Oryctolagus cuniculus: one gene and its partners. The protein of the gene in region 2 interacts with the protein of the main gene of each other region in a biochemical or structural test. Links are inferred from orthologs where the notes say so. Each region holds a gene or a part of one and is shown on either strand. Other genes may lie near its edges.

What was found.
Region 1: the proteins of STX3 (region 2) and SNAP23 form a complex in vitro, tested with the Homo sapiens proteins (3 studies listed by BioGRID). The link is inferred for Oryctolagus cuniculus from reciprocal best matches to the Homo sapiens genes STX3 and SNAP23.
Region 3: the proteins of STX3 (region 2) and SNAP25 form a complex in vitro, tested with the Homo sapiens proteins (2 studies listed by BioGRID). The link is inferred for Oryctolagus cuniculus from reciprocal best matches to the Homo sapiens genes STX3 and SNAP25.

Annotation. Positions count from the first base shown.
Region 1 is NC_091443.1:65,543,733-65,551,806, forward strand, and holds the start of SNAP23 (synaptosomal-associated protein 23), read left to right. Parts: upstream 1-2,791; coding exon 2,792-2,848; intron 2,849-3,367; coding exon 3,368-3,409; intron 3,410-4,180; coding exon 4,181-4,229; intron 4,230-4,925; coding exon 4,926-5,043; intron 5,044-8,074. UniProt on the Homo sapiens protein: Essential component of the high affinity receptor for the general membrane fusion machinery and an important regulator of transport vesicle docking and fusion.
Region 2 is NC_091432.1:12,701,753-12,709,742, forward strand, and holds the start of STX3 (syntaxin-3), read right to left. Parts: upstream 4,101-7,990; 5' UTR 3,893-4,100; coding exon 3,863-3,892; intron 1-3,862. UniProt on the Homo sapiens protein: Potentially involved in docking of synaptic vesicles at presynaptic active zones. Apical receptor involved in membrane fusion of apical vesicles.
Region 3 is NC_091442.1:35,146,547-35,154,773, reverse strand, and holds the start of SNAP25 (synaptosomal-associated protein 25), read right to left. Parts: upstream 4,130-8,227; 5' UTR 3,972-4,129; intron 3,714-3,971; exon of another isoform or gene 3,391-3,713; intron 1-3,390.

The DNA of each region.
Region 1 (8,074 bases), on a different chromosome or scaffold from region 2:
TTGAGATGATTCTACTAAAAGTGAGAAGATCTATAAGTGACCAGCACACTGTTGCGGATCATACACATGCAATGGCAGTTTTGAGTTTGTGATTCTAGTAGATATTTCCAGATGTGGTGCTGTTGTTACATGTAGCTTTGTTTCTAGGAGCCACTTAAATTGGTAGTACACCCTCTTTTTCCACCTACTTGTTCGTTCAACGGACACTTTTGGAGTGCCTACTGTCAGATCTTGTTAGGTGTTAAAAATAAAAAGATGAAGGGTTGGCATTGTGTTATAGCAGGTTAAGCCGCTGCCGGCAATGTTGGCATCCCGTATGAGTGCTGGTTTACGTCCTGGCTGTTCCACTTCTGGTCTTGCTCTCTGCTAATGGGTGTGGCAAAGCAGCAGCAGATGACCCAAGTGTTTGGGCTGCTGCCATCCACGTGGGAGACCCGAATGAAGCTCCTTTCTCCTGGCTTTGGCCCGGCCCAGCCCTGGCCGTTGCAGCCATTTGGGGAGTGAACCAGCAGATGGAAGACCTCTCTCTTTCTCTCCCTCTCTCTCTATAGCTCTGGCTTTCAAATAGATAGATAGATAGATAGATAGATAGATAGATAGATAGATAGATAGATGCATCTTAAGAAAAAAAGGATCAAGAAATTCAAAGATGAAACTGCTGCCTTCCAAGTTCAGTCTAATACATGCCCAGGTAATTAGATTGCCTGCTTATCACTGAGTATGCTTCATAGCAGGGTTTTTTTATCATAACACTTTGAAATTTTAGGCCAGACCATTTGTTGGAGGGCTTTCCCAAGGAATTTCATAGGATGTTTAGCAACTTCCCTGGTCTACCCACTGGATACTGCTTAGGGCTCCCGCATCCCATACTGGAGTCTCAGCGTTGCTCCCTACTCCCAGATTCCTACTAATGTGTATCCCAGGAGGCAGTAAGTGATAGCTCCAATAGTTGGTTCTCTGCCACCCACACAGGAGACCTGGATTGGGTTCCTAGTTCCCAGCTTTGTCCTGGTCCAGTCCCAGCCTTTGTGGGCATTTGGAGAGGGAACCAGCAGGAGGAGGTCTCTCTCTTCCTCACTCCTTAACTTCCCCGCTCCCTATCAAATAAAGAAATAATTTTAAATGTCTCTATATATTTATTGCCAAATTCTAGAGAACAAATCTACAATGTGAACCAGACTTTATCTGTATCATTGACAAAAGGGCTTTGATAAATCAGTTTTCAAGATCTCTCTCTGTCACTCTTTAAAAAAGACAAAAATAAATAATAAACATTCTGAAAAAAAAAAAAGTATAGGAGCTGGCACTGTGGTGTAGCGGGTAAAGCCACAGCCTGCAGCGCCGGCATCCCATATAGGGGCCAGTTCAAGTCCTGGCTGCTCTACTTCCAATCTAACTCCCTGCTAATGCATGTGGGAAATCAGCATAAGATGGCCCAAGTCCTTGGGCCCCTACACCCACATGGGAGACCTGAAAGAAGCTCCAGGCTCCTGGCTTTGTATCCGCCCAGCTTCAGCTGTTATGGCTGTTTGGGGAGTGAACCAGCAGATGCAAGAACTCTCTCTCTCTCTCTGCCTCTGTCTCTCTGTGACTCTATCTTTCAAATAAATGAATAGATTTTTTTTAAAAAAAATGTAATGCAAATCTAATCTGTGTATTGGGAAGAAAAGCTAGATCTGTTGCATAGTGTTTATTTATGTGACTTCTCAAAGGAGAATACACAAGAATGATACTGGATCGCACCTACTAGATATTGTGTATTTTAGCTTCAGTGTCTGTAAGGCCTCTCTTTCAAAGGTGGGATATAGAAAGGCTAGTTCTTCAGTTTCTTAGGATGTTACTAACACTATGAACAATACAAGCAGGTGGAGGAGAAGAGTGCTTTAATGAAAACTTGAGCTCTTTTCTGAACTCTGTACCAGCATTACCCTTTTCTTGTTTAGAATAAAAGTATTTCACTTTCTCTAATGTGTAACCTGGACAACTGGCATATTTCTAAAATGTTTCCTGTGTTTATTAGGCACATGACTTTTAATTTGTTATTTTCCTTAACTAGACTCTATTACCTTACTGCTTTTCCAGAAGAACGTTGTACAACCAAGAATTAATTTCAGTAGTCTCTTAAAGTGCTTGTCTTGCAGCAGTGCCTTTCTTCTTAAAGTAGGGTGACCACCTTCCCGTTTTAAAGAGCACTTCAGGGCCGGTGTTGTGGCGTAGCAGGTAAAGCTGCCCCTGACACGCTGGAATCCATATAGGCATCCATTCAAGTCTCAGTTGCCCCACTTCCCATCCAGCTCCTTGCTAAAGTGCCTGGGAAATCATGGAAGGATGCCCCATGTTCTTGGGCTCCTGCACCAATGTGGGAGACCTGGAAGAAGCTCCTGGCTCCTGGCTTTGGATTGGCCCAATCCCAGCCATTGTGGCCATTTGGGGAGTAAACCAGCAGATGGAAGATCTCTGTCTCTCCCCCTCTCACTCTGTAACTCTTTCAAATAAAATAAATAAATCTAAAAAAAAAAAACAAAAAAAAAAAACAAAAAAACACACACTTCAGTAGAAGTCCTAAAACCTGTTTTATGTGCATCTTTGGTACTAACTAGCATTAAATATCCAATTAGTCTTTTTCAGCTATCTGTGGGATAGATAAATAAAAGTGGGTTTTATCTTGTCTTCATAAGAAATACCTAAATTCCATAAGTCTACCCTCTTTGTTTTGCTCAAAGCTTTGTTTCCTTGTTCTTGTAGGATACCCACATTTCCATTTCTTTGCCTGATAAAGTTTTGATTCATCATGGATAATCTGACATCAGAAGAAATTCAGCTGAGGGCTCACCAGGTTACTGATGAGGTAAATGCTTTATTGAGAATAAGTAATCCTGTTGCAGTTTTCACGGCGCAGGGTCTTCCTAGTCCCTTTGTGTCAAAGAATGAATTTGCCCCTCAGTGGCATTCATTGCTCATTGCTTTTCATCAACTCACCAGAAACACTAAGTAAGGGAAGATAATTCGCATGGTTTTTCCAGATAGTCATTGCTTAACAGTTACTCACAACAAAGATACTCTAAATTTGAAGAATTCTGGATTTTTTATTTATTTCCTACTATCTGTGTAATATTCTTAGAGTTCTGTCTTCATCAAATTTTTATGAACCCCTTTAAGTGTACCATCCTAATTTTCTTTTAAGAAGGACTTGATAAGAATAACTGAAAATACAGTGACCAGTTTTCTTGATTTTGTTTTAAAGGGAGGGATGGGCTAGTGATTTTTAAACAGAATAACGTTCTGAATATAGTCTGTGTTTTTTTTTTTTTTTTTTTTTGGCTACATATTTTGAAATGTTTAAACTAAAACTGTATTTTTTTCCTAGTCTCTGGAAAGTACAAGGAGAATCCTGGGTTTAGCCATTGAGGTAAGAAAGTGTTTAATCATCAAGTTAAATACAGAAGTTTATAGGAGGGATCCTGATAGCACTAGCTGGAGTTGCTGCTAAAGCACATTCTATCAATATACTTTATTATTTGAAACCTGCAATTACTGAAATTGTCAAACCATGTGCTAACTGGCCTTTTCTGCTTTTCCCTTTGTGATGGTATTGGAATATGCTTGGAAAGATGAATTAATTTTAAGTTTTTGACTTAATTATTTTTGGATATTATGTTGAAGTGTGTTGATTTAAGAATGCTAGTTCTGGCCGGCACCGCGGCTCAGTAGGCTAATCCTCCGCCTTGCGGCGCTGGCACAGCGGGTTCTAGTCCCGGTCAAGGCGCCGGATTCTGTCCTGGTTGCCCCTCTTCCAGGCCAGCTCTCTGCTGTGGCCTGGGAGTGCAGTGGAGGGTGGCCCAAGTGCTTGGGCCCTGCACCCCATGGGAGACCAGGAGAAGCACCTGGCTCCTGCCTTTGGATCAGCGCGGTGCGCCGGCCGTGGCGGCCATTGGAGGGTGAACCAATGGCAAAAGGAAGACCTTTCTCTCTGTCTCTCTCTCTCTCTCACTGTCCACTCTGCCTGTCAAAAAAAAAAGAATGCTAGTTCTATCTGTAGCTTCGATCCTCTGAGGATGAATTTCCAAATGATTCTAGTCTTGCTATTTGTCAGCCCTTTTAAGGTCTTATTTCTGTTGGTTTAGGGTATTTAATTAATTAATTTATTTTTTACTATTGGTATTTTCCCTCTTTGTTTTAGTCTCAGGATGCAGGAATCAAGACCATCACTATGCTGGATGAACAAGGGGGTGAGTTAAAGTTACTGACAGAAATTCTTAAATTGATTTACAATGCCAAAATGTTCTATCAAATCAGCCCTGTATAGATTTTCCTTTGGGAATGCCTTAACTTTGTAAGATGAGTGATGTGTTTACTTCTGATTTGAATGACATCATGTTTATTGCCTGGTTAGCACAGGGGGCAGTGACCAACTATATACCAAGTATGTGTTAGGCCAGCATGGCTTATTGTGTGCATCAGGCCTCTATGCATTCTTACTTCACCCTAGAAATCAAAGTTAAGTCCTAAAACCGATTTAGATTCAGATTAACTTGGGAACATTTGATTTGAGTTGGCCTTGAGAAATCTCATCTGTTTTTGATTAGTCTTGTGGTCACCTCAAGTTTCAAGCATAATAAGTGATAGGAATGCTGGGGATCTGATGTGGTCAGAGTACACTTGCTTGCATTGGGAGGGTGCTAAATCTTCACATGCTCCTGGTGTACAGATTTCTTTAGAATAGATCCTTCCACAATTATAAGCCATTGTCAGTATGGGTGTAAGAGTGTCTTCATGTTGAACATTTTGTAATATCTTCTGACACTGATAGATTTATTCTTTGTGGTATAGTATTGGTAGATTTGAAGTTGAAGTTTGCTATTCCACTATGGCGTTTTCTTGTTGATACTGTAACAGAAAATGTACCTTCAACACTTTATTCTTAGAACAACTAAACCGCATAGAAGAAGGCATGGACCAGATAAATAAAGACATGAGAGAGGCAGAGAAGACCTTAACAGAACTCAACAAGTGCTGTGGCCTTTGTGTCTGCCCATGTAATAGGTGAGTGGATAAATCAAGTTTTTTTCAAAATCAGTAAATGAGAGCATCTCCTCCCAAGTAAGGTTAGAAGTATGACTGGACCTAGATGAGGATGTTTGTTAGGTAAACTTAAAATATTTCTTCTTTTGGCAGATTGAGTGCTTCATGCGAATAGCTATGTTCATTGAAAACCATGGCTTACTTTTGGCCAATACTGGGAGCGATTTCCAATTTTAATTTGTAGTAAAATACAAAAATTTTGGAAAATACGTATTTGAACGATACAGAGCTGGATGGGGTTAGTGTCTTTCGTTTCAAACAAGGGAAGTTAATAAAACTCGAGTATGTGTTCTGTGATAGGCTCCTGAGAGATGGCTAAAGGAATAAAGGACTTGGGCCTTGTTTTCAAAAGACTGCTATGTTGTTGGGCGTATGAAGAAAAAACAGAAAATATGTAAATCTAGTGTTAGCTCATATGATATCAATTAAGTATAGGGGGAAAGGTGATAAAGGTTGGGCTGGAGAACATCTTACAGAAGAGGTGGCAGATGAGTTAGGCTTTCAGTGATTAGCAGGAATTTGGATGAACCTGAGAAATAGGGAGGGCATTTTGCTATGTAAGATTCAAAGGAAACAAGGATTAAGGAAGCTGCCAAGCTGAGGAATTGATAGGTTAGAGTGGAGTATATGATTATATAACCAGGAGACTAGTTAAAAACTTACTGTATTCTAGGCCAGTGAGGTTGGACTTTATTAGTGAGGATAGAGAAGGTGCTTGTACAAATCAAGAGAATTTATTTTAAATCAATTGATTGATTATTTTAAATCAATATCTGTAATAAGAAGAAATGCTGAAGACTTGGAGACTAGTACATTGGCACATGAAAGGTCTTCAAAGCACTATGTATGATGAGATTTTGCATGACCCAGAAGAATTCATTCTTTTGGTGCCTCCATTGTGAATATTTAAATTCTCTACTTATCCTTGGGTAAACCAGACTCTGTGACGTTGACAAATACAGCATCTATTCAGACTAACAGGAGGTCTGATTCTAAGACAGTTTACCATGGTCTTTCTCTTCTGTTAGAAGGAGTGCATCTTTGTTGTTTAAAAAAGTAATAAATAAAATAACTTTGAACTTTACTTTTAGTTGAAATGACAATGTCTAGGGATTGAATGACTATGCTTACTGCTGAAAGTATTCATTTCTAAAGATCTTTGTAAACATTAGTACTTCCATTCATTTGTCTCAGTTGATCTGTTAGTCCAAGAGTGGCATAAAAAGGTTTACTGACTCTTAGCATTTTGATTCTTCAGAGGACTTAGGAATGGAGGAGTTTTTGTCCTATTTTCAAATGAATGTTTTCATGTAACTACATGTTCTGTGCCATTTCTGCTAGAGAAAATAGAGTTAAGTTGCCTGTTGATCAACTTTAGTGTTTGTTTTGGCCAGGCTTTCAGATTCGATGGTGTTCTGCCAGTCTTGTCTGTTGGCTTCCTGTTCTAATGTAAAACTATTGACTTGTTTTAACCTTGGTTGACTCGCTGAAAGTCCACATTTTAATAACTGACTTCTCAGGGTATCGCAGGTTCTTTAGGCAACTAAGTCATAAATGTGCAGATTATTGGATTCCAACTCTTAGCTATATTTTGCAAGCTTGTTCCTTTACCCTTTGTTCTGTGTAGTCACTTGGAAGAGTGAAGAAAAAAGAATGTATGTTGCTCCCCCTCTTCTTGGAGGAACGACACAGGACCCTGCGCTGTTCTTTTGTCTGCTCGGCCCTTCCCGGGTTTGCTGCTGGTTCTTCCCGGGTTGGCTGCTGTCCCTTCCACCTCCGTGGAAGGGCGGTTCCCCCTGCCACTTTCCCCACTTCCGTGGGGGAGCGGCACACCGCCGGCCAGCTCTCTCGGGGGCTGCTCAGATGTTATTCGGATGTTCCCCTTAGATGTTCCTGGTGCATGTTGTTTCTCTCCTCCTTTATAGTCCTCTTCCACCAATCCCAACTCTGCTACCCACACGCCGAGCACGCTGCTCTCCTCCAATCAGGAGCAGGATCAGCTCCTGCAGGTTACTGGTCGAACTGGAGGCAGCTGTGTAAAAGTTGTTTACTCCTCTCCCAGTGCCATTTTGTGGGAGAGAGCAGATGCATAGAATAAGTCTTAATTCCAGTAACTTAGTCTAGTCTGAGTTGCTCCCCACAAATGTAGGTCAATTTCTTTGAGATAGGTGTTAGGAGAAAAACAAAGAGGAAGTCCTTCCTAGAATCCAAAGCAAGATCAGCTCGTAAGTCATGGGTTGTTAAATGGGAAGAGCTTTGAATCCTAAGATTATTGAAGTGAGAAATTGCTCTACAGAAGTTTTTTTTTTGTTTTTTTTTTGTTTTTTTTTTTTTTTTTTGACAGGCAGAGTTAGACAGAGAGAGACAGAGAGAAAAGAGAGAAAGGTCTTCCTTCTGTTGGTTCACCCTCTAGATGGCCACTATGGCCAGCGTGCTGCGCTGATCCGAAACCAGGAGCCAGGTGCTTCCTGGTCTCCCATGCAGGTGCAGGGCCCAAGCACTTGGGCCATCCTCCACTGCCTTCCCCGGGCCACAGCAGAGAGCTGGACTGGAAAAGGAGCAACCGGGACAGAATCTGGCACCCCAACTGGTACTAGAACCTGGGGTGCCAGTGCCGCAGGCGGAGAATTAGCCTAGTGAGCCACAGCGCTGGCCTCTACAGAAGTATTAATTGTGAACTGCAGCCAAGCATAGGCAAGCTTTTGTTAGACACCAATGGGAGAGAAAATAGAATATGGTCTTCAGCCTTCTCACCTCAGCAAAGCCTTTACTCAGTGGGTCAAGAGGATACACTTCTTAACAGATAGAATCAAGGGGCGACTGTAACAGAACAGTTGTTCCCTGAAGAGGAGAGAGTGATATCTCAGTTTAAAAATGTCTGATTTCTATTCTTTTTCTTTCATCTATTTCTTCTTTATATACCGTTGAGGCCTCCTCATCTTAACTGCTAATCAGAGTTTCAGTTAGGCTTATCATATAAGCAGTCGTAACA
Region 2 (7,990 bases):
AAGAAGGCTGGGATCTAATAAAGGGGCAAGTTGTTATGTGAAGATTTAGTTATGATCCAAAGCACCTGGCACACGGTAGAGGCTCAATCAGTGTTTTTTGAATGATTTAAGCTTTAAAGGGGGGAAGCACAGCTACCTATTTCTGATGGGATTATAGTACAGTGCCATCTGAGGGACTCCCATCCCACAGAGATCCCAGAACTTCCGCAGGGTAGGAGGTCAAGGACAGGTCTTTAGGAAGCAACATGACACAAAATAGAACAGAGAGAGGAAAAAGCTGCCCCTTGGAGCTTGCTGGTTGGTTTTGTTAGTGTGCTATTTTAACTGGCCTTGGAGGGACCACTATCTCCAAGTCAGTTCTCGTCTACTGTAGATCAGTCTTCAGGGGATCAAAGTCCTTGACCTCTATTCCACACATCACTGTCACCTACCTTTGATTTTTTTAATTGCTGTTCTCATGAAACAAATTTGTTCCCCTTCTAGGACTATTTATTCTCTAACACTAGGATCTTGCTTGCCTTTCTTAAGAAATTCTACATGCATCCAAAGAAACTCAATTAAAATGAGACCTGAGTTCAGGTACTACTTGTTCTAGGAATCCCCCACTCCCTGCCCATCTCCCAGAGGGTGTTCCTGTGGTCATTGAGATCACAGAGATGGTATCACCATGTTCATTTCTTGTATGTCTCCCTGATTGTGAACTTCCTGACAGCCAGGAAGATGGGTTAATCACCACACCCCAGCACCTACAGCAGGAACTGACACCCAGTAGGTTCTCGGTAAATGTTTGCAGAATGCAAAGAAAGCCAGAGAAAAAAAAGACCCCGGTCCAGAAGTCATCCAGACTCAGCAGAGTCAAAGTTCAGCTGCTGAGACATCTGTAAGAACCACCTTCTGAGATGGGCTGCAAGGAGGCGCCGCACATTCCCGGGCAAATCTTTCCTATGTCACTGAGGAACAGGAGAGCACCCTGAACGTGGCAGGGGAGGGTGAAGGGAACAGTCCAGGGAGAAGGTGAGTCAGGTCTTGGGATCAGAAAGGTATGCCTCTCAGTGAGAACACTGCTCGAAGCAGTTTGGAGAACTCTCATTGTCTGTGGTGGGTGAGTCTCACGGACTGCCTTGTTTCATCCTCACAAGGACGCTATGGGAAAAGGATGATGACCCAATTCACAGGTGCAACTCTGAGGCCTCAGTCTTCATGGACTGCAAAGCCTTAGGACAGGCTCACAAATAAAGCATCTCACAGAACCAGACAGACTCAAGACTGAAGGAGGCCCTAAATCAGCCAGCTCACCTTCCCTCCCTCAGAGAGGTGCCTCAATTCCTAGAGCCTTCAACACCTCAGCAAGCTGTCTGCCAGCCTCCCTCCCGTGCTGGAGGGCTCACTGCCTCCCCAACCACACTAACCCATCCCTGGGCAGCTCCAACAACCAGAAGTGCTTCCTTACAGACTCCCAATTGCCACCGTCATCCCCACATCTTCTAACATCTACACAGGGCAAAGCCAATCTCACCCACAAGACGGCCCTCCAGCTATCCATCATCACCTCCCCTCCCCCAGGGTTTAAAAAGACCTCTAGAGAAACAGACAGCACAGGCTGTTCCGCCAGAACTGTTTACTGCAGGTTAACAAACACGCTCAATCGGCTGATAACAGGAATCAGCGAGAGAGCATGGCACATCTTGTTGCAGGGATGGGATTTTCAGCGAGGGAAGGGGTACGGGAGGTAGAATCAACACCAAAAACCCACCTAACTCTTAAAGGTCTTCATAGAAACCAGTAACAATGTCAGAAAGGGGTTCTGAGATCAACCTAACCCCTGGTTTTGCAAAAGAGGAGGGCATAAAGGAACACAGCTACTAAGTGGCAATACCACAATTAGAAAGAAGCCTTTGAACTCGCAACCCTGTCCTCCTTACCCTGCACCCCCACGCTTCTCCAAAACGCTACAGTAACCACTCTGTGATTCCAGAACAATGCACCCATAATAACAGCACCGTCTATAGTCTTCACTTTCCCCGCGTCCCCAAGAGGTAAAGAGAGGAAGCGTATCATTAGCTTTGTTTTACAGACGGTAGCCATGAGAGAAAGGACTTGCTTGGGTGCCTCGGCGGGTTGAATTTATTCTTGGAATCGAAGGCTCAGTTAAGGCACTGTTGCTCTTTGTTGACAATGGGTTATTGAAAGGGGCTCTGGAGTATCCTCCGTTGGAAACACATTTCCTAACTAAAGGAAGAAAGCAGCCTCTGTCTGCGGTTCAGTTTTTTTGTGCTTGCTGGGTGTGCTCACACAGGAAGATCTTCGAAATCATGCTCTTCTTTTTTTTTTCCTGCCTCCCCCAGCGGTGTAACAGAAGGGAAAGGACACGGAGGAGAGGTCAGGAGCTTGCCTTCCTCTGAGGGCTGTGCCCTGACCAGTTTGTGATGGGACAACCGTCCTACCCAGGGCAAGCTCCAGGATCTCTGTCTATAAAACAGGGGCAATAAATTCTGCCCTTTGGGTCACCAGTATGATGCCAGGCTCCAGTGACAAAGAGCAAGTGTGGGGCAAGAGGGTTCCCTCCCACGATAAGCAACTGTCCCTTTGCTTCTTTCATATCCTGAGCTCCTTTGCCACTCTGCAGCCCTACAACCCAGAGCAGGTGGAAGAGCCACAAAAGAATCACCTAAGAATCACAGCCTCATCCCAATGGTCCCCAACAAGAATTTCCAAAGAGCATTTAGCTATTAGCATAAAATTTGCCATTTACTTAGTTTTACATGCTGTGCACCAAAGGATTCTTTTACATGCTTTCCTACTTTTAAGTTCTCACAACTACCATGTTACAGACGACAAAACAGAGTTGGAGTGTAAGGGAGAGCCAGTAAGCTGGTTCTGGTGTCTGAGTCCATGGTTCTACATGCGGCGGGTGGGGAAAGAGGGCTAACTTGCTACACTTCTGACAAGCTCCCGAGTAGAAAGACCACATCGTGAGTGGCAAGGGCCAGATTCTACCTTCTGTTACGGTACAGCCTGTGTTACCAGGATCGCTGAGGCTTAGCACTGGGTCTGCCTCATGGAAGGCACTCAATAACTATTTACTGTCTCTGTCAATAAATATCTGGCTCAAAAACCCGGGCTTTTTACACTTGTCTATATCATGTCTCATTATGTCACGTCATCCTTGGAACAAACCTCTCAAGCGGGTATAATCATTCTCACTTGACAGATAACCAGACACAGGCCCCACAAAGTAAGTAGCTTAAGGTGTTCCCGCTTCTGTGCCACAGGGCTGGAGGCGGCCCACCTTCCTGTCCTTTTGCCCTGACCACTCCCATCTCAAGGCAAGGCTGGGACTTGATAACAGACCACCGAATGGCCCCACCTCGTGACCAGCTCACAGCTGGAGAGGTCACCTGGGAACTCAGCTGCTCCTGGGGGAGAGGGGGGCGCTGGACCCCACGCAGTCCAGAAGGGAAACAGGAAGAGGGGTGGAGGAGGCCGATTCTGGACTGAGCGCCCGGCAGCAGCAGGCAGCAGGTGGTTAGGTGACCCCTTGAGCACCCGTAAGCCCCGCTGGGCATAAGGGCGCACGCACACCCCTGAACCCGGGTTCTGCTTGGGAGGTGGGGGGAGGAGATGGGAGCGCTGGAGGCGGTCAGGGAAGTCACGGCCCGGCGGTGAATCATGGGCACATGACCCCGCAGGGAGGGGAGGGTGCGGCACCCTCGCGGGATGCCGCGGGGCTTAAAGGACAACCCTTGCGCGCAGCCTCGATTTGGGCAGAAAAGGAGAAGCCCCTGTCCCCGGCATTGCACCTCCCGGCGGCTCCCGGCAGTCCCGCCCCGCCCGCCGGGGCCCCGGGAGCGGCTGGACTCACGGCCTTCAGCTGCTCCAGCCGGTCCTTCATCCTGCCGCCTGGGTGCCCGCGGCTGGGAGCGCGTCCCAGGTGAGCGCGCCCCAGGTGAGCGCCCGGAAGTGGCGGCCGGCCGGGCCCGGGCGAGGGAGCTAGGAGCGCAGGCGGAGGCGGGCGGCGGCCGCTCGCGAGCAGGTGCGTCCCACACCACTGAGGCTCCGCCGCACCGCCCCTCCAGCCCCCGCGGCGGCCGCGCGCTCCAAATCCGCCTCCCGGGCGGGCGCCGGCGCGCAGCGCTCATCCGCAGCCGGCCCGCCCCTTACCTGGGCCGCGCCCCGCGCTCCTCCTTAAAGGGCCCGCGTCTGACCGCGCTCGCTCCACCTCCCCGAACTCCAGGGCACCCGAAGGGTCGGAGGAGTAGAGGAACTGGCGCTGGCAGATCCCTCCGTCTGCTCGAGGACGAGCGGAGACGTCGTTTCGGCCTCAGGCCACCTTTCCTACTGGGATTCGCCGTCGGTGCCCTTGGCAGACTCACGGCCAGGCGGGGAGACAGTTCTCCCCCACACCCCGAAACAAACGCATCAGGTGTGCGTGGGGAAGGGGGAGGAATAAGGTCGCTCCGGGAGACCGGATCTGCGCACGCAAGGCCGAACCTAAAGGGGGTCGTGCTGGCAGTGGGAGGGGGCGGGCCGGAATGAGGACTTTGATGTTTTTGGCCATCGGGACCCTGGAGGGAAGGAGGGAGGGAGGAGGAAGGGAGGGAGGTAGAGAGAGAGAGAGATAGAGAGATAGAGAGAGATAGAGAGAGAGAGGCCTGTCCTTGTCGAGGTGTTTTGTGCAACTTTGGGAAAACGCACTTTCTCAGGAGGTAGCACCTGCTTGGGAGTTTGCTGTGAAACCTACGTGAGAGGAGTGATTGACTCGTAACCCACGGAACGGGGTTTAAGGTAAAAAGTGTTTGCCTTGGAAAGCCGAATCCTTCATTCCCTCTGTGGTGTGCAGATCCCAGCGGGGTGGAGCGCAGTAACGGGCCGAGAGAGACTTCTCCGGAGAATTTGCTCTTCACAGCCTCCGGTTGACCGGCTGTGAGTAGTTTTGCGGTTCGCACAGGACTTTGCCTTCTTCTGCGGCCCTGCCGCGTGCTGACTTCGGCTGCCATAAGGATACGGTCGGCAGAGCCGAGGCCTGGCTTCTGGACCTGGCCCTGCTTTTCTGCATGCTAATCCCCTCTGACGTCCTGCGCGCCGGGCTGAGTGGCGCGTCTGTAGCAGCGCCCCCTGCAGGTCATAAATGGAAAAACTGAGTTCATCGGAAATACTATTGGATCTGTTCACCTCCACAATCTTTGATGGTGAGGATAGGTACTTGCCCGCCCTGAGGGAAACAGGGCTGAGAACATCTCTTTACCTTTGAAGGTCTAAAAGGACCATAGCAATCAGGAGTCTTTTCAATTCTAGGAACCAACAAGTGACGGTTCATACTCTGAACACATGTCAAAAATTCGCTATTTTCAAAGGTTAAAATCATGATTCTCATACAAATATAAAGTGAATGTGAATCAGAGGTCTTATTTAATTCCTCAATTAATGAAGAAACTGGTAGGAAGCTAAAGCTATCCAGAGAAGAATCCAAACAGCAGGAGAGGGTGCTACAGGTAACAGAAATGCTGAATACTGGAAAGAATATGCTAAGAAATGCAAAACTCTTGTGGTGGGAGAGCAATTGCACTTCCATGGGACAAAATTCATTCACACCTCTCTAGACAAGAATCATTTGCATCAATATTAATTTTCTACAACTTACAGTTTTGGAAAACAACAACAAAATCATAAAAAAGGCATAGACCACCCTAAAACCAGATAACCCACATGCTAGAGTGGGGAACGTCTGGGCCATATAAGGCCTGTGAGATTATGTAGTCTGGCCCTGCCAAAGCAACAAGAGGTAGGACTCGAAATTTGATAAATCTGTAACGGGCTAATTGTTAAGTTGATAGTTTTGTATGGGCCACCAGTGCTGTTATAAATATCCAAATAGCCCTTGGTGGAAAATAGGTTCCCACCGGGCCGACGCTGTGGCCCAGTGGGTTAAAGCCCTGGCCTGATGCTCCAGCATCCCATATGGGCACCAGTTCTAGTCCAGGATGCTCCTCTTTCAATCCAGCTCTGTGTTACAGCCTGGGAAAGCAGTAGAGGATGGCCCAGGTCCTTGGGCCCCTGCACCCACTTGGGAGACCTAGAAGAAGCTCCTGGCTCCTGGCCTCAGATTGGGGCAGCTCCGGCCGTTGCGGCCAATTGGAGAGTGAACCAGCAGATGGAAGACCTCTCTCTCTCACTCTCTCTCTCTCTTTCAAATAAATAAAATAATTTTTAAATAAAAATAGGTTCCCCACCCCGTACCCTCCAGGAGTGAGTTAAGTGCTCCTTGAATGTGCTTCTGTGATACCCTAGACTTCTCCTTCATACCTTACCACGTCACATAATCACATGACCATGTCTGGTTCCTGTACCTTCTGTAAGCTCTGTGGGGGCAGTAGCTTTGCCACTCCTCACCAAAGCATAGGGCCAAAAACTACTAGGCTCTCAGCACATGCTTACTAACTTTATTAATGCATTTTCTGGTATTATGGCTCAATGCATCTTTATTCTGATTAAAACCCATCAATGGCTTCTCTTCACAAACGGAATCCAGACCCTTCTTAGAATAACATTCAAAGGGGCCATCAAAGAAGGGTGTACCTTTCTCTAAAGGGAGAAGAGAACTTCCACTTCAATTATGGCCCTGTCTAAATAATGTCAGAGTTGTGGACTCAAGAGGCTTTCATAGCCTTGGCAGCACATTACAAGAGCCTCAGATGATCACTAACGTCATAAATAAAAGTGTCAATTGTTAAATCAATAACAGGAGTCACTGTACACTTGCTCCCCATGTAGGACCTCCATCCTTAATGAGTTGTACTACGAGAATTAATAGTAAAACTTGTCTTCAAACAGTACTTTAAATTTTCTGTGTCTATGTGGGTGCAAACTCTTGAAATCTTTACTTAGTATAGAGTTGACATTCTGTATAGAAAGATAATTAAAAATGAATCTTAATGAAGAATGGGATAGGAGAGAGAGTAGGAGGTGGGACGGTTTGGGGGTGGGAGGGTTTGGGGGAAGAACCACTATAATCCAAAAGTTTTACCTATGAAATTTATATTTATTAAATAAAAGCTTTCTATAAAAAATAACATTCAAGGCCTTGCCCAATTTTGCCCCCCTCTCACCTACCATCACTACCTGATTCACAAAGCTCCTCCACCAACCTCATGAAACCACCCCTTCCCCAAACCTCACTCACCCTTTTGTGATCTCTCACCTCTGTCCACCTGGTTGGTGCTTTCTCCACGTCGTGTCTGGGAAATTTCTACACCTCCTTCAAGATTCATATTCATATTCACTCAGGTGGTCTCCAGTTAATTTCTCTGCACCTCCTCCAATAGTACTTGGTCATATCTCTTTCTAAAGCACATCCTATGTTTTGTGCCTAGTTGTTTACACAACTTTCGCCCTGGCTTGAGAGTAACCTCTGGAGCCATCAGCATGCAGAGCCACTACTGTGAAGAGGCTGGTAGGGACAATGGCAGCTCTCAGTGGGGAAGCTGCTTATATAGAAGTCTGTTGTGATTCTTGAGACACAGAAGATGTGATGTTTCCTATAGCTCCCTTGTAGAAATGTCAAGAGTAACAGGCTAATCATAATGGAGCAGATGCAATGCAATTGAATAAGTATGGATTTAAATGTTTTGTACTAAAAAAGCCATCTAGCGACCTGGCAGGTTATGCTGTCATTTGCAATGCCATCATTCCATATTTGAGCTCCACTTCAAGCCCCAGCCTCTCCACTTCCATTGCACCTTCTTGCTAATGCACCTGGGAAGGCAGAGGAGGCTGGCCCATGTGCTTGGGCCACTGCCATCCATGTAGAAGATGGAGTTCCTGGGATGTTGTGGCTATTTGGCGAGTTAACCAGTGGATGTAAGATCGATCTCTCCCTCCCTCCCTCTCTCTCTCCCTCTCCCCCCCCCCAACCTTTTCTGCTTTTCAAATAAATAAATCTTTTTTCAAAAAAAGCTATCTAGGGGCTGGTGCTATGGTGCAGTGGGTTAAA
Region 3 (8,227 bases), on a different chromosome or scaffold from region 2:
TGTGACTTCTCATCACCAGATTCCTGACCTGTTTTCAATCTCAGGTACTCATCTTGAATAATTTGTTCTAGTTAGTGGTGGAAAGTTGAAACTTACAATTAACTCTGGGCAGGCCTTACATGTTCATCTGCGTATGTGCATCTTGAAGAGTGAGCTTAAAAGATTCTTCAGTGATGAGTGATATTTTTTAAATTAGTGATCTCTCACAACATTATTTTTCTCCTCTCAATTTCTGAAAGAACATAAATTAAATCCACTGTGTCAACAGCAATTTCTGGATATTAAAGAAGACCTGGCTACTTTGTTATATCAGTTTCTGCTCAGAAATCAATTTTAGAAGATAAAGTACCAAATTCTCAGTTTTGCATTTAAAGCCTTCCACAGAAGGCTCCAATTCTGGTATAGCAACCCCTTTGCCCCCCAAACTATACATGCAAGTTTACGATTCCACTCAGATGGATGGGCTCTTTCAGGGTTTGCTGACCATAGCATGGAACTTGCCCAACTTGCAGTTCTGCTTATGCTGTAACTTCTACTTAGCAGACTTCTTCAGCCTCTCTCCAATCTTCAAAAGAAGCTCAAGTTCGACCTGTTCTCTCAGATCAGATCTGCAACACTGCTGTCCTCTGAATTTACATTCCTTCGTGTTAGTCACATTCACTGGACATTTACTAATATGTCCCCTCACATATTTTCTTCCACCATTTTATTGCATTTTAGTTCTAGTAATGTTTACTGACTTTAAACTTTTTTAAAGGTTGCTAGATGTTAAACTCATTGAGGTCAAAGGCCATATAACTATGAGGCCTGATATCCCCTCCATGGGAGTTCATTTATGTATCTGGTGTTGACTGATTGATTGGTATCTTCTTATCAGGTTAGTCGCTGCCGACAAGGGATGACATTGCAGAAACAAATCCAGCGCTGAAGCTGAAAACATGGATTTTCCTAGCTTGGTAGAATTGCAAAACAGTTCCATAACACAAGAAACATTGTTTATTCAGAGTGCATCATCTAAAAATCAGTTTCATTTATTTTTCTTCTTTCTAGTCTCCTCTCTCAATATCTTTCTTGAATTATTTCTCCCATTTAATGCTCAAGACCTACAGGTTCTGCTGAAGGCCTGCTGTTACGCAGCTTCCAGGTGGGACTGGAACAAACATCAATCTTCCAGTTGATAACCCTGACACTGAGGGCTATCATTTAGAGCTCAGGAATATCTTTAGACAAGCTAACTAAGGGACAGTTTATGTTGTGTTTGCATATGTGTGATTGTGCATGTCTAACAGAGTGAAAATAAAAGGTTTCATTTTTCAGAGATTTTACCATAGAACAGCTCAGAAGACTGTAAGTTGTTTTGTTATCTGAATGCCAAAATAGTAACAGAAAATTCCAGGTACCATCAGAGGGGCTGCATGAATGATACCTGGTTCATCCTTTTGTCTATCTGCTCATACCTCTTCTCACTGCACTGCCCTGGATTTTTAAAATTCTTAAAATAACACATCTTAGATTCCTTTTTATGAAGTGTGTCAACAATGTACATGTTAAATTCATGAATCAGTGATGTTTTTCTTTAATTTGTCAGTAAGCTCGTTCAGAATTAGCCCTATCATCCCGCATTTTGCTTCTCCCTCCCAGTCCTGTGCCCTTCGCAGCTTCACTGCAGTCCTCTACCTCTTCCTCCTATCCCCAGTCTTCCACTAGCAAACAAACTCAGCAGTAATTACCAATGTCCAAGCACGTAATTCCAGCTGCATTAGGCTTTTCTTTTGACGCAACTACGCAGAGAGCTGTCTGGATATGCAGCATGAAGATAAAAACATTTTTAATGATTCCTGTCCATAACTCCCTTCCTCCCATAACTGAAACAAGTTGTTTATTTTGCCTGAAGATTTTAGAGTTATAAACTTCTTTCATGCAGGTATAGACTGATGAATAAATGTCCACCCAAATAATTTTTACATCCATACAGAACAAATATATATATATTATATACAATACACACACACACATATATATAAATGCATGGTTAACCATAAAAAGGAAAAACACTATGTAATAAATAGATAGCTTGAGATGGAAAAACCTTCTGTATGTGAACAAGATGTTTTAGAATCTTTAGTATACAGATGATTGGAGTTATGCCTAATTAAACACAATCCAAGATCTTATTTTGAGTCTTTTAAAGGGATCATGGTAGCATTTTTTAATATGCTGTACATATTCTTACATATGACAGTTATTCTTTTTGCCAGCTACTTAAATAGTACAGTTTTGATCCCAGCCATTTCATGACAATTTGATCTGTCTAAATCAAAGAGAAATATTGCTGTGATGATTTTTGCTCACTCAGAGGCTCCAAACCTCAGAGTAGAAAATGGCCAAAGTATTTATCATCACCTCAGCAAAATCCTGCAGTGCTATAATAGAAATTGCAGTAGATCTTTAGGTTGGAACCCGGTTTCATTCTAACACCCTGGATCTCTCATCTGCCGTGTCCTGAAGGACACAGTTGGATTGTCCTGTGGTAGACCAGTCTTAATGTTATCAAAACAAAAAAGAAACTACTGACCATTAATAACCAACAACTACAGGAAATACTTCTACTAACTCTGAATTCACAGCAAGAGATGTTAAATAATACACACTATAGGACTGTAATAGTCCTCGAAGATGTATTTTTGTGAATGTGTGCTCGTGGTAATGTTGATTCTTATTAATTCAGTTAATCCTAAATGTTCATAAAATATAAATATTTAGAAAGATATCACTTCTATAAACAGTTTTGCCATCTTCATATATACCCCACTCATGCCCACCCAAGATCTGTAGATTGATTTACTCTGTTAAAAACAAAAACAAACAAAAATGTATATATCTTGCTAGAGACTTAACACATATTATTTTTAAAAGTGTTTATTTCCTACCGAAGAGGGGCAGAGGGCAACACAGAGGGTTTCCACCAGCAGACTTTTTTTTTTTTTTTTGATGGTATGCAGGAGGTGAACAGGAGAGCAGGCAATTGTCTTAAGTCTTTGTGGACAGGATTTATTTTTTCTTCCCTTTTCTCTTTGAACCTACTATGCCTGCTCTATTAATGGTCCCTGTAAGATCAGGGTCTCAGAGAGACGATTTGACCTCCAACCCTGGCACATCCAGTCCCCGCCAGGCGTCTGCCGCAGGTAGATGCCGCTCTGCGGCCGGACTGCTGTCTGTGGTGCTGAAAGGTCGCCGGCGCCAGCACGGGCCCCCGGTACTGCTCTCCAGGGTGCTGAGCACCGGCCGCCGCAGTCCCCGGGGCGAGCCCACCGCGCCAGCCCTCCGCAGAGCCCTCCCACTCGGCACGACCCGCCCGCCTCCCGCCAGCCTGCAGTTGACGTGGAGCAGGCGGCATAAATCAAGTCCGCGGGGCATGGAGGCTGCTGCCGCTGCCACAGCTCCGCTTGCCCGGGGCGAGAACTCGTTCTTTCTCCTTTGGCCTCCCCAGCGCCCCACACCTTGCCTCCTCCTTAATTCTTCCCAAGAGAATTAGAACAACATGATGGCTTTTTGTTTTGATTCGTTTTTTTTTTTTTTTTTTTTTTTTGGTCCACAGAAAGAAAAACAAACCCCTACTCCCTACCCCCTAGCCTGCTAAACATCTCCGAAAACTGCATCGCAAAATGGAAGAGACAGAGTCCCACGACTGTTGCAGAGGAGTAACTTATTCGGTATGTATCCTTGTTCTTCCTCCTCATCGCTCCACCTGCACTATCTCCATTCATCCCTTCCCCAAGCAGCTCACCTCGAAAATACTTTATAAAGCCCCAGAAGGGAGTCTAGCCAGACGTGCATACCCGGAATACCGCACCCTAAGTGTACAAACACTTGCATTTGCCCAAGCTCACTTGCTCTGCCCAGCTGTGGGGTCCCTTTGGGGTACACAGACATCTAGAGCCAGAACCTCGAGCTGGGGAGGGTCCCCTTACCTTGGCTTCTCCAGAGGGTGGTGTTCGCCGGGGCCCCTGCAGGTTGCAAGCGTGGAGGAGCCGCCAAGCAGGGAGGGAAGGAAAGACAGCGCCTGACCTCGGCGAGGTTTCGTCTTCAATGCAACGTGAGCTCTGCCCTCATCAAAGATGGCCGTCCCTTTGACGTCAGCAGCTTTTAATAGCCGGCTCGGGAGGGGCGGGGAGGAAGTATTCTGGCGAGGGGCGGGGTGAGTGGGGGGAATGGAGAGCAGGGAGGGTCGAATGAGGGAGGGGGCGCGTGGTGGCCGGGGAGGAGCGAGGGGGGCGGAGGCGCGTGAAGGGAGGGGACGAGTCTCGAGGTGCCCAGAGCTTGACTCAGCTCCGTGTGCGCTTCACTACAAATCTTTGCATTTTAGCGTTCTATAAACACCCGAACAGAGAGGTTTTAGGACTCCATTTTAACACCCGGTCTTGGGCAAACACATTTACCTTGCCACTGGCTCCCTGATGTCCTTTGTTGTGTGTGCCTATGAATGTTAATATACGTACATCTATAGATCACATATACATAATTTACTCCAGCTGAATTGAGTCACACGCGAAGAGAGGAAGGCAGAGGCGGTGGTGGGAACGGTGAGGGAGGGGGAAATTTCAGCTACGGTTTGTGCCCCTAACCACCAGAAAAGGGTCCGAAGGGACATCCCTGTCAACCCTCCCCAGCTCCATATATGGCTAGGCTACGTGGGTTGCTATTTTTTATGAGTGATTTCTTCATTTTATCCGAGCTGCAACGAGGGCTAGGAGTTTGCATTCATGTGGTCAGTTGGGAAGAGAGACTCACACACTTTATTTTAAAGTACGTCAGAGCTATTACCACGGAGAGTATCCGCTGAGTCCGGAAGGGTCGTTAACCAAACCAGCAGGGGGTTGCTAGGACTCCAGGCTAGGAGTTGAGAGCTGTTGGCCAGGGTAACATTGATGACGCTGTTTTCAGCGGAATTTGCAGTCTGAGCCTGGGGTTTTGCGTTGGGTATTTTAGGAAAAGTCCGCACAGGCACGTAGGCGCCTCCTAGATCGGTCCAGACATCCAGGGAGAAGGTGGCGGGTTTGCGTTCAAGCATGGTTAGGACGCGATAAAACGCTGGTGCTTCGCTCAGTGAGCAAAGCCTGGGCACCACGACAGGCTGGCTCGGGGCTCTCTGATGTTCAAATCAGGGCAAGAGTGAGGAAGGTGTCTTGTGCAAGTCATATGAGAAATTAGAAATAATAATAAAAAAGCAATAATCCTAGCTACCCCCACCCCACCCTGTTGTCGTGCAGGAGGCGCCCAGGGAGGCAGTGGTGGCGGTGATGGGGGTGGCGTGCAAATAGCTCTGCCTTGGAGCCTCTCGGATGATTCACAGGTGTTGGGGAGGCTGTCGCGGGGCTCTCTGCGGGGAGGGCAGGCTGCTGGGCGCGTAGGAGGTGGGGGACCTCGTCTGAGGAACTGTTTGTACTTTTCTGGGGAGGATGCAATTAGAAGTCGTGCCTCGCAGTGTTAAAACTTGATGGCCTCTTTTGGGCTATGGAAGATCCTTGTCTCCTTCAGACGTAGAGAAAACCATTTAGAACTGGCTCCGGAAAAACAATATACAGACAAGTACGGACACACACACACGCACCCACACACGCACCTTGCTGGCTGAGGGCCAAGCTTCAGCAATAATAAGCCTTTTAATTGCATGTGATTGCGGGAAGTGGTGATGGGGGAGGAAAGACCCATTGTAAAGGGACTGTGCTCAGGAGGGAAGGAGCTGCTAGAGTTTAATGCAGGTTGCCTTTAATTGAAATCAGTGGAAGTCATTGTTTCTAAAAGACTCCCTGATCCAGAGTATTTTGAAATATTAATGTTTGCAATAATAATAGCGTCTGGATTTTTATTAAAGCTGGATTCCTAAAATAATAGTGCTTGGATTTTTATTAAAGCTGGATTCCTAAAATAAAGCATGTGGCTGAAATTTGTTTACTTAAATATTTATTAAACATTCAAGGTTCCTGTAAAGAAAAAAAGCTGCGTGGTCCTCAGATACTTACTTGCCAATAAATCTCTCCCAATTATGGTTCATATTTTCATTATAAAAAGCAAGTTGGAATAGAGTGGGGAAAGCAGTGAGAATGTAGTGGTCTTGAAAAATCCTTCAGAGTCAAAATTTTTTCCAAAATGTGACGTTTTGGAAAAAAAAAAGGGCAGCATGCAGAAGTTTGTAGAAAAATAAACAAGAAGGCCCGCAGTGGGGAGAAACAAAATGTATGTAGGGCTCTCTGATGAGAAATCATTCAGGCAGAAAGTTTGTGAAAGAATGGAGGAGGCGGGGGATTTTCCAGATTAAAAAAAAAAAAAAAAGTAAGTACGTCAGTGAGGAAGCTCATCCTGCAGGCAAAAGCTGTGTGGCAGCCACAGGGGAGGACTGGCTTTGTAGCCGGGGTTTTCAGCTGCTGATGCCTCACACCAACATCTCTAAAAACTGCAGATGAGAGGAGAGAGTCAAACTGATTCACTGGGCTTACAAGGTTAGCTGACAGCATTTCCATTGCCATGTGCTTGCTTTGAAGACAGTGCTGCTTAAAAGGTTCTTCATTTTGCTTTGGGGGAAAAAAGGTTAACAGTCTAATCTGACAGATAGAAGTCTAGTCAGGTTGACCAGATGGCCCTAATGTATTTTGAATATGATAATGAGATGTTTCCTCTAGTGTTTTCTCATTCTTTGATTAAAACAAAAGAAAAACAAATAAACAGATGAATAAAAAATAAAATCCATAGTCATCCTTGCCAGTAGGGAACCAGATTTATGTCAGTCAGGGTTCACGAAGGGAAGGCTTGAACCCTACACTAAGGAAGATAAAGGAAACTTTGTTCCCAAATGAATCAGCTGTTTGTGGGTTATTTCTACAAGAACCAGCATATTGGGTAACTAACGCTTAGGAATTCATTTGATGAGCAATGAGAAAATTACCTGCTCTGTTGGATAGATATTTACACTGTGCTAATTCAATCTCTGAAAGCTTATTTTCTGGTACACCATGCCCTAAAGTATTCTGGTTTGTAATAGCTCCAGGTTCAAGATATTTAGCTTATATTTCTGACGGAAGGCACAACACTCATGGTTGACTCAATAATTATAATTTAATAATGAATAATAAGAGTTTTTATAAAGTACCATATGACTTTTATAAAGTCAACTTGGAAGTTGTTTAGAACTAGCCTCACTCAGAAGCCTGCAGGGACAGGCCTAGAATCTTGTGACAATGTTTGAAAACTTTGTGAGGGCACGAGGCTTGGGCACAGGAATATATCATTAGACACATCAACTGTCTGCCTTCCTTGGTCTGTTTTCCAAATTGTTTATTTGCTTCTTTCTCTTGATATATTCTTCCACCCTTACCCCAGACCCACCCCATTTACCCCATGGTGAATTAGTAGAACTTATTAAGCTCTAGGTCTAAACTCCCCAGGCTGTAGGGAGTTTAGATGTGGCCTCTGAGGTAGGAACATAGCTTCCAAGATATAGAAAGAGAATCAGGAATATTAACTGTTTCTGGGTTGCCATGTTGAAAAAATGAGGCTGCACACTCAGAATCTTAAAAACACTTTTTCCCCCGCTAAGAACAGCATTGTGGGAAGGAAGGAGAAGAGGGTTTAGCTGCCAGATGCTGTTCCTTTATACATCATAATTGGACTTTTGTCTTAGAAGACTGCATCCTGGGACACTCTCAATATTGATACCTGCCAGTGGTCAGGTAGGAAAGAAGAGTTTTGTGACCACAGGGATAGAGGGAAGGAGAAAATGATAGTGAAATTTAAAAAGGCTATTTGAAAGAGACCATGGTATTTCTTTAGTTAACCTTTAAGGAATTCCATTCAGTTTGTAACCCGTCTGTACCTTCGTCATCTCATAGGTAAAACACAGCAGTAATTATATCCTACTCACAATAATATTCTGAAACACTTAGAATCACATCTAGCACCATGATTATTGGTTAAATATAATACATCATCATTTGAGGTAATTTTATTTCTGTAAGAATGTGTAACTCTTATACTATAGAAGCTTGATTTCTTCATTGACCCCTAGCTTGCTATGCATCACTTAATTGTTCTGGGCCTTTATTTCTTTGTAGTAACTAATTAATTTATTCAATATCTTATACCTGCCATTGCTTGGCACTGGGATATATTGAGATCTAAGTAAAAGGAGAGGGAATTATAGATGAGACATTAAATAACCTGATCAAGGACA